2 linked regions of the Saccharomyces cerevisiae S288C genome follow. The protein of the gene in region 1 binds, or shares a complex with, the protein of each later gene. Each region holds a gene or a part of one and is shown on either strand. Other genes may lie near its edges. The genes, in order: SIR2 and NET1.

Region 1 (4,111 bases):
CCTGGATAGCCAAACCTACTGAACCGTTCTTCGGGTTTTTCACGGTAGCTATTTTACAAACAGGGATCGTACCGTTATTCTTTAAAGATTGCTTAGCTTCAATTATCTTTTGTTGTTGTCGGAAATCATGAGTTGTTTGGCCTTCTCTCCCTAGAGAACTTTTCTCTATACTGATACCACGCCTTAACACATTTAAACCATGTTTTTTACCACCCAAATGCCTTTCAACGCTGGACCACGACATGTGCATTGTATTACATAGTTTACAAACCAGTTTACCGGAATGATTCTTGTAAATGTACGGATTGGACCTTACTTGATCGTCCTTTTCATCTTGGAAAGTGTACGGGACATTTTCGCCTTTACTAAGTAATGATTCGACTTCTTTCCTTCGTTGTAAGTTAAACTGAGATTCTGAGGCTATACCACCACCTCCTTTCTTTGACCCAACGCCTTCTAAATAGTTCATTTTGAATGTATGGATGCGTTAAATGATTTGAATTTGCTGTTCCACCTGCCCTTCTTACATTAAGCTATTTGTGAGAGCCTTGCGTCTTTAGCAGATTTTTTTTTTTCATTTTTTTAGTGAGATGGGCGGTACATGTAATATTTCACCCGGTACAATGAAAATAGCAGAATGTAAATAATATTTGACTACAATAATTGAAAGGAAAACAAAATTGTTTGCCATACTATGTAAATTGATATTAATTTGGCACTTTTAAATTATTAAATTGCCTTCTACTTAGAGGGTTTTGGGATGTTCATCTGATGTAACGACATACACGCCCTTATCCTTCTCTTGGCATTTAAAGTTCTTGTTCTTCAAATCGTTCCATTTCTTATGCGGAATCGTCCAGCCACATTTTTGGGCTACCATAGCTGCAATGTCATCACAGTACCCCAAAAGAGATAAATCAAATTCTGCGTGCTTGACGGGATCACGATTAATCAGGACTTGGGGAACGTGGGAAGGAACCATGTTTACGATTTCAGACACTGGCGCTACTTTTAAACTTGTCCCAATGCAAATCAACAAATCACATTCTAAGATATCTTCGCGAATGCTCTTATGAAATTTATTTGGCAGTGCTTCGCCAAAGAATGTGATATCTGGTTTGAGAACGCCATATGAGTTAAGGATATATGGAGGCCTTTCCGACATTGAACCCTGTGATGCAGCAACACCTACTTTATTATTATATCCCTCTGGGAAATATTCTCTTCTTTTTTTGTAACAGTACGGGCATAGTGGAAGTTCGAGGTTTCTAATTTTATTAAATATCCTCTCACCGGGTAGGTTCCAATGGCAGGTAACGCAGGTGGCAGTAGCAAAAGAGCCATGGCACTGCACCAGTTTATCTGTGCTTATTCCCGCATAAGATTCCAAATTATCAATGTTTTGAGTATAATTTCTCAATAATTTCCCTTTCATTTGTAGCATCTTAATGAAACTATGCAATGGAGAATAAATTTTTTCTGGAGGTAAAACCATATTGGCAATATTATAGAAAACAGAGGGGTCGTGCATAAATATATTGTAATTGAAAACGTCTTGGGGATCATCGAGCCCCAAATGTTTGATCTTTGAATAGAACCCCTCAGAAGATCTGAAGTCCGGGATCCCTAATGAAGTTGAAACACCTGCACCAGTCAGGACCAAAATTTTTCTAGCGGTATGTAATTTTTGAATAAAATGATCAATAGTGAAAAAATTGGATAATCTTAATCTTGTACATAGAACTTTGTTAATTGCTCTTTGCAAATCTTTGATTAGACGAACTGTTTGCTTTTTTGCCAATGGGTCTTCAACATTTGTGACAGATATTGCACTTCCCAAATCTTGAACACGCTCTTGCGAGTTGATATGGACAATACTGTTGATGGTGCCGATAAGCGCTTGATCTTTAACTTCAAAGCCTAGCAACTTGATAAGATAGTAAATGTATAACGAGTTCAAATCCTCGGGGAGGTAAGTGTCTAAAAATTTGTGTGCACCATAGTATTTCAGAAACATTCGAGCATTGAGAGACTCTCGTTTAGTGAAGGAGGGACCATAGAAAATACCATTTGATGGGTTTTTACTGATTATGATTGGCCCCTTGGGCGTCTCTGGTTTCAAAACGTCATTGGACATTGACACTACTGAAGCTGCTGACACTGCCAAGGGATCCATGTCATTAGTTGGTTTGAGCTCCATCGATGCCACTTCTCCGAGCGCAGCTTTAGTGTGCCCAAGTGGATCTGTTGTGTTGGTTTCCCTCAAGGAATCCGGCTGTGCTACTTTTATCTTCTTATGTGAAGGTTCATCATTATTTATAATGTCATCGGGTTGTTTTCTGATCGCGTCTTTATCTTGTGTGGGGCTTACTGTATTTGAAACCTTATTTTCGCTAGTCTTTGATACGGCGTATTTCATATGTGGGATGGTCATCCAGCTTTAATGTGCCGATGAGGGAAAAATGGTTTGAATGTGTCTACCGAAGCGATGCCTAATTTCTTGAAATACGTGAGAATGGGCTTTACATCTCTTCACTAAATATATTTTTCTTGGGTGGTGAAAAAGACAAGTCTTTCAAACTATGCGACCTAGAAAAAAAATATTTTACCGCAACTGGCGGCCAAAGAGGACAAAGAAAAATTCCTCGTTTTTTCTCTGAGATGGGAAAGCAAGAATTTTGGCAAGAAAAGGTCCTGGCTGTCCTGGACCATGGTTGGAAGGAGTGCTAGATGTAGCTTGGAAAAGAAATGACCTATAACAATGTATCTTTTATGAGCATATGCGCATGCATATAAGCATATACATAAAAAATATATACATAAATTAAGTAAGAGTTAATTGACACATTGAGGAGTTGCAGGCTACAAGTAATACTGTAGAATTTCGTTCTGGGAGTGAGGCTCCAAGGGAGAAAGACTGCTAATAATCATTTCTTTCAAATTAGAGCTTCCGATCGGAACATCATCGCGATAGCGATACAGAAATAGCAGGCCATTTATATCATTCTTACCGAATTTTTCTTGGTAGAAATTCAGCCAATCGAAGCTATTGTTAGATATTTCGTTTAATGGGAAATTTTCAGAATACTCTTTTTCAAGGCTCTTCGTGACTACTTTCTTCAAAATTGGATCAAAGGGGGTGTCGTTTCTTGTGGCATGTAACAAAACAATGGCCATACTACCAAATAAACCGCTCGTGGTGCCAAATCTCTTAGCGAATTTGTTTAGAGAAGCAAAGCACAAAGCTAACTTTCCAATTCTGTAGTTAAATTCAAAGTCCAAAATATAATCCCTTTCGTCTTCTCTGACTTGCATGGAGTAGTTATTATAAAATTCGGTAGCGAAGTCCTCCATTGGAGTGGAGGTTTCAATCAACTTTTCGCCGAATACATCGTTATCTTGATCACTCGGATAAGCAGCAACACTCTTGGCTTCAGTTTCTTTCCGTTTGTTCATAGCGGCTGCTTCCTTCTTAGCTTTTTTCTTTTGGCTGCTACTATTTTGGCCATTATTTTGGATTTCATCTGAATTTTCATCTAAAGAATCGGACTTTCTTTTTAAGCGATCATCATGCATTTGAAAGTAAAGCTTTGATGCTTCCTTCATTGCGCGAACATACATGGGTTTGGTATAAAGTGCCTTTCCCCATTCTAACATCTCCAGATAGGCTCTTGGCGTACCTTTTCTCATACAGTATGAATGGAAATCCAACTGGTCATCTTCGAATTGTTTATAAAACTTTGGAATAGCGTTGAATCTTTTCAGCGCCAAACCTTTATATTTGCGAACAAGCCATTGGTTTTCTTTGATATCATTCGCAATTTGTTCGCTTTTATCACTTTCAACCTCTTTTTTTAGCGATGCTAAATCGTCTAATTTCTTTTTTCTATCCAGGTATAGTCTATAATAGGCTTCTGCCTGTTCTACGATGAACCAAGAAGCTTCCACAAGGTGTAAGTCCTTAATACCATTAACAGAATCATCGTTTTTGGTGAAAAGGGACGCGACTTCCACCGCCTTGTCGATATTGTTAGCCCTTAAAAAGTACTTAACCGTTTTACAGTTGATAAATCTATCCTGCAAATCAAGTTGCCTACCTTCCTCCAAAATT
Region 2 (5,984 bases), on another chromosome or scaffold:
AAAGATAGTGAAATTATGTATACAGGTGTTTCAATTTCTGTTTCCTTCAATTCTAAACAAAACGAACAACTGCATGTTGAACAGCTCTCAGGTGGTCAGAAGACTGTATGTGCCATTGCTTTGATTCTGGCAATCCAAATGGTTGACCCTGCTTCCTTCTATCTGTTTGATGAAATTGATGCTGCACTCGACAAGCAGTATAGAACTGCAGTCGCTACACTTCTAAAAGAACTGTCAAAAAATGCCCAGTTTATTTGTACGACGTTCAGAACAGATATGTTGCAAGTTGCAGACAAATTTTTCCGTGTTAAGTACGAGAATAAGATTTCCACGGTTATTGAGGTCAATAGAGAAGAAGCAATCGGATTCATTAGAGGTAGCAATAAATTCGCTGAAGTCTAAGAGATATTTGAAACGATTTGTATATAAAAATATCAGTTTTGCTTACATAAATAGCTATTTGTATGTAATTATTACCATTGTCTCCTATATTGGAATTTTAAAAAATTTTCTTTTAAGATGATACTGTTACTAAACAATAATGTTAAATATAGTAACCAAGCTTTGATAATTCGACGTACAAAAAAGATTACTTTTCTTAAAGAAGTTGCCCGCTTGCTGGGAAAAGAGGTAAATAAGAATTGGTTTACATGAAGATTTTTTAATATATTAATACTTTTATATGCTTGATTATTTTTTTTTACTAGCTTTCTGTGACGTGTATTCTACTGAGACTTTCTGGTATCATTTTTTCTTGAAATCTTTTATTAATGATGCAAATCCACCACTTGGCTTCTTCTTCTTACCTAAAGCAGCACTAGCGGATTTCGCACTAATAAAACTTTTTCCATCATCAGATGAATCCCCTGAGTCATCAGAATCTGACTCAGATTTAGAATCTGAACTGGAATCCGATACGGAGTCCGAACTGGAGTTAGAGTCAGAATCAGAGCTAGATTCATCATCACTACTTGAAGGGGCTTTTGTTTGTGACTTCTCATTCGATTTAGAAGTTTTTTCCTTTACATCTGGGATGCCTCTTGAAACAAGATCAGATAATGAACTCAAAGAAGGACGAACTTTTCTTGGAAGGTCATGAAGTATACTAGACGGATTTGAGGTGGTCTTGGATTTAACTGACGGAGGAGACGACATGTCCATTAGCTGTGTAACTGGAATTTTATCAGGGGTGGCATTGATTTTTTTGTTAACAGATGGAGAGGGGGCTTCAATCTTAGATGAAGATCTAACTGGTTCTCTTGGTGTATTTACAACAACTCTTCTAGCCTTCCTGGATGTTGAAGTTTCCTCATCAGAAGACGAGGAAGATGAACTAGACTCGTCTTCTGTGGAAGAACCTGAGGAGCTAGAATCATCATCGTTTGCACTAGAATTATTTTTTTCATTAGAAATTATTCCAGGTGGCACGAGTGTTTTACTATTAGTAAATTTAGCCTTCAAATCCTTCAATTTATCATTTGCACTGGGCTTAGGAAGCTGAACATTGCCTTCTTTTAAGTGATCTGTCATTTTTAACTTTTTCTGAGATACCTGTTTGCTTTTGGAGTCTTCTTTTTCCTTCGAGTTATTTTTATCGTTAGCATCCTGTATATTGGCAGATGCTTTTTCTGGTTCCTTGGACCCCTCTGCTTTCTTGTTCAAGTCTTCACCTCCTATGTTTGCGCTTTTCAAATCTGCAACCCTAGAAGTTGTTTCCTTCTGCTGCCTATCAATCTGCGCAGACTCATTCTTGGCCTTCGTTTTAACATTTTTACGATTTCCTTCTTCATTGAAAGAGGTAGTTCCTTTAGTAGCAACAGAAGGAGACCCACCAACAACAGGAAAAGACGATGCTTGTGTTGCTGGCTTAGTTTCCACCTTTGTAGCTTCATTTTGCTTCTTGTTTGAATTCGGATAAAAGCTTTTCGCCATTTGTTCACTTATTTTGCTATTTGTTACTGAAGATTCACTCACGGCTGACTTTTTTTGACTATCTCTTTTGTCGTTTCTTTCTTCATCAACTTCTTTATTGATTATCTTTGAGTCTTTCACTGGAACAACACTGCCTTTCAAAGAATGTAAAGAAATGTCTTTGGGCCCATTATTAGGCACCGACATATTTTTCCTTTTAAAATCATCGTCTGATGAGAAATCTGTTTCAATCCCACTCTCTGACTCATCGTCTGTGGACGCTGCCGAACTAGAATCTTCAGTACTTTTCTGTGGGACTTCGTTTTTCTTGGCACCTGCCAATAATTGGGCAGCCCTCTTAGCCGCACTTCTTGGGGTTCGCTGGGGCAAAATATTTCTTGGATCTGGCTTAGAATTGTCTATGTCTTTATTCAAAACCGTTGTGTAAGGCTTTGAATTTTTGGAATTACCGGAAGTTCTCGAATTTTTGCCCTTAAACCATTGCGGTAGATCTGTATCATCACCTTCGATCATTTTGAAAAGATCTGACTTTGGGAAACTAGAGGAATCTGAATCTTGAGGAACAATACGAACCGTAGTATCAACTTCATCATTATCATTGCCATCGTCCTCAATGGTGCCGTTAATGATAGTGCCATCTTCCTTTGAAGCGTTGTTGTTTGAACTAACTTTCCCAGCTAGTGATTTCAACGTCCCATTAGACTTATCAGATGATGCAAGTATTGGCTGATCATTATGTGGAATTGTCGGCAAAATTTCCTTTTCTAAAAGTTTATCATTCGTATCTTCTTTTTCTCTTACCTGATTATCATCTAGGAAATTAGTCATTCTTTTCGGTTCCACAATACCGGAAGGTTCCGCCTGAGATTTCTTTTCCACTATAGTTTCCAGTGAACTCTTTCTTGGTGGTTGATGTTCTTGTTGCTTTCCCCAGGATTCGCCATTTGAAGATTTGGTGATCGAGGTATTGCTTGCCTTGGGAAGTTCTGCTAAATGCACATTGTGTGGCATGGCATCACCGAGAGGACTATTTTTCACCGGAGAGCCATTATTATCTGCGATGGAGCTTTGACTACGTTGCAAGGAAGCCTTTGAATGTGGTTCTGTTTCAGGAGTTTCTTGGTTTTCGCTACTTGAGCTATCGTCGGATTCGTAGTTCTCGCCATTTTCCAAGTAAGGTTTTTTCATTGGAATCTTTGCAGCTTTAGCGGGTAAAATGGAGGCCGGACTGGAAGGTCCCTCTTTTAACTCTTTTTCAATCTCTGAGATTCTTGGCTCGGGGATTTTCAACATTCCTGATGTTATTCTTGGAGTGGTTACGGGTGGTTTCCTATTAATGTCCTGAGCAGTGACAGCAGCTGTGCCACCATTAGCAAATGAAGAGGAAGAAGCTGAAGCAGAGAAAACCAATTCGTTTTTATGTGCGTGTTCAGAAACCACTCTCTGACCGGTAAGAGTAACTCTGTTTGGAGTCATGGTGGACATTATAGGAGTTCCGGACAATAGACGTTGCTGCTTTGTTTTATCTGGATCCACGGTTGCTGATCTGGACACGATATCTTCCTCGACGATGCTTGATTTTATTTTTTTACCTGCGTCAATGCCCGAACTAATTCTTATGGGAGGTGACTGAGGCTGCGTTGGAGGCGGCAAAAAGGATCTTTCACCAATGTCTTCGTCTTCGTCATCTGAGTTGTTGGAGACGATCTTCGAAGAAGGTGGAGGATAAATTTGCCTAGCCAATGGGGTAGAAACCCTCATGGATCCATTAGTGGCACTACGAATGGTTGTTGTTGTCGTGGTTCCTGTAGGTGGCCTCTTCTTGGCAATCCGAAGAACACCTGAAGAGGACGGGATTTGTTGTTGCGGCTGCACCGACTGGGGCGACCCGTTGTTCAACTTGGATCGTTTTACCGACTTATAAAGTGACACTGGTGCGGAATCGTCCAGATCTATCTCATTCTTCAATATAACTCTTACGATATTATTTACATTGAAAACGTCCTTTACCAAAAAATCCGGATCAAGGTCACAACCGCTGTTATCTTGCAAACTCAAAATTTCAATGTCTTCTTGCAAACTCGGGTACATTTTTTCACACTTATCGATGATTTCATCACTCAAGTTCAACAGCGTGTTTGTCGGCTTGGTAAACAAAAGAAACTTCCTAAACCTAGACTGGTTGAAATAGCTTGGCGTGAAACTCACATTGGCAGATCTCAGATTAGCATACTGCAAAGAGGCATCTCCGGCGCTTTGCGCCATATTAGTTCTGTTTGGCAACAATTGAGAAGATTCGGCGATGGTTGGTCCGTAGCCAAACTGTATTGGCATCGTCGCCTGAAGACTCGGAGGCACCAAGACCACTTGTAGCTTGTACATAGAAGGAGGCACGGTGTACAGTAATCGACTTCTCTCTGTTTCAGGCGAACCGAGACTAGGGATTCGATCAGCTCCGGCACTTATTTCATCGTGCTAGCTACTCTTCACTAGTTATTCAAATTGATTATTGACGCTTACCATGAAAAAGAAAAAAAGTTCAAAACATGTGGAACGGGTAACATAATGCACATATCGCTCCCTACGAGAAACAAATCTTATTTTCGAATACGTACACGTACATATCAAATAGGCTTATATCATTCTGACTCTTCACCAATCAGGGACATATCAGTACTACATCTGTTAATAGCAACGTTATGCACTATTTTTTTTCCAATTTTTTTTTCGTTGAGTAAAGTTCAGGTCGTACAGTGGCAAGGAACGACTATTTCTAAAAACTGTATTGCCTTAACCATGTCTTTCCCCTTGAACGCTATCCCTGGCATGTATCTGATAATTGCTTTCCCTCGTCTACAAACAGTAATTCCCCTGCAGCGAAATACTCCTGTTCGAATTACGAAATCGGTGATAGTGAAAGGCGCAGTGAGCGTGCCACGGATCTCCTCTCCGATGCACTAGGGTCCTGTTCCGTGCTCTGGTATCTCGATTAGGAAAGCGGAAGAAAAGAACGGAGGATACCTCTAATTAAGAGGGTCCGTTGTGTTGTGTTAAGCTCGGGTATAGGAAACTTGAAGAGAGGCGAAAAAAACCCAACGATGTGAGGAACGCGTCGCTATTGTTGGTAAGTTTGGCCGAAAAATTGTTTTTCTTCGCACATGGCTGGTTCTGCTGGAGGCGGCTGGGTGTTTATAGTTACCGCAATGCAGGTCGCTTCGTTTACTTTTCTCTGCGTGCTCGAGAACTGATAAATACTGGTTTAGGAAAACCGTCCACTTATGGATTTAACAAGGAGGTGAAAGGTAGGTACCATGGCAATATAGCTAGCAACGCTACGCACTAGCTGTGTGTGCTTGCTCTCTTGTGTTCGTCTTTCGTATATTGCGGGTTCCCGCGGTTAATTCAACAACAAATATGGTATCTAGGCAGGGACCCAGCAACGGAAGGATGTAATTGCTATATAGGGCCGATGAAACAGTTCTCATGTTTCAACTCGGTCGAAGAATTCTCTAAAACATATTCTATACTTCAAAGTTTTTAGCTTCTTGCTTTTCGGTAGTTGCCAAACCAATATCGGCATAAAATTATAATTGCTGCACCCCTGCAACTCCAAACAACTTAAAACAACTTAAAACGAAAACGCTTATGCTGGAGTTTCCAATATCAGTTCTGCTAGGATGCCTAGTAGCCGTCAAGGCACAAACCACGTTTCCAAACTTCGAGAGCGATGTGCTGAACGAGCATAACAAGTTCAGAGCGCTACATGTTGACACAGCGCCGCTCACCTGGTCCGACACTCTGGCCACCTATGCGCAGAACTACGCCGACCAATATGATTGTTCGGGTGTCTTAACGCATTCCGATGGCCCATATGGTGAGAACCTTGCCCTTGGTTACACAGACACGGGAGCGGTGGACGCCTGGTACGGGGAGATAAGCAAGTATAATTATTCAAATCCCGGATTTTCTGAATCCACGGGTCACTTCACACAGGTGGTTTGGAAGTCAACCGCCGAGATTGGATGTGGTTATAAATATTGTGGTACGACATG

What was found.
Region 2: SIR2 (region 1) and NET1 share a complex: the UniProt entries of both Saccharomyces cerevisiae proteins name them as parts of the RENT complex.

Annotation. Positions count from the first base shown.
Region 1 is NC_001136.10:376,012-380,122, forward strand, and holds SIR2 (NAD-dependent histone deacetylase SIR2), read right to left. Parts: upstream 2,435-4,111; coding exon 746-2,434; downstream 1-745. Other genes in the region: spliceosome assembly protein PRP11, read right to left, coding at 1-469; peptide alpha-N-acetyltransferase complex A subunit NAT1, read right to left, coding at 2,863-4,111. UniProt on the Saccharomyces cerevisiae protein: NAD-dependent deacetylase, which participates in a wide range of cellular events including chromosome silencing, chromosome segregation, DNA recombination and the determination of life span.
Region 2 is NC_001142.9:293,575-299,558, reverse strand, and holds NET1 (Net1p), read right to left. Parts: upstream 4,315-5,984; coding exon 745-4,314; downstream 1-744. Other genes in the region: cohesin subunit SMC3, read left to right, coding at 1-402; APQ13 (Apq13p), read left to right, coding at 683-1,099; YJL077W-A (uncharacterized protein), read right to left, coding at 4,674-4,760; ICS3 (Ics3p), read left to right, coding at 4,498-4,893; YJL077W-B (uncharacterized protein), read right to left, coding at 5,414-5,512; PRY3 (Pry3p), read left to right, coding at 5,578-5,984. UniProt on the Saccharomyces cerevisiae protein: Has a role in chromosome maintenance and is involved in mitotic exit. Inhibits the action of CDC14 by sequestering it in the nucleolus. Also binds to RNA polymerase I and stimulates rRNA synthesis.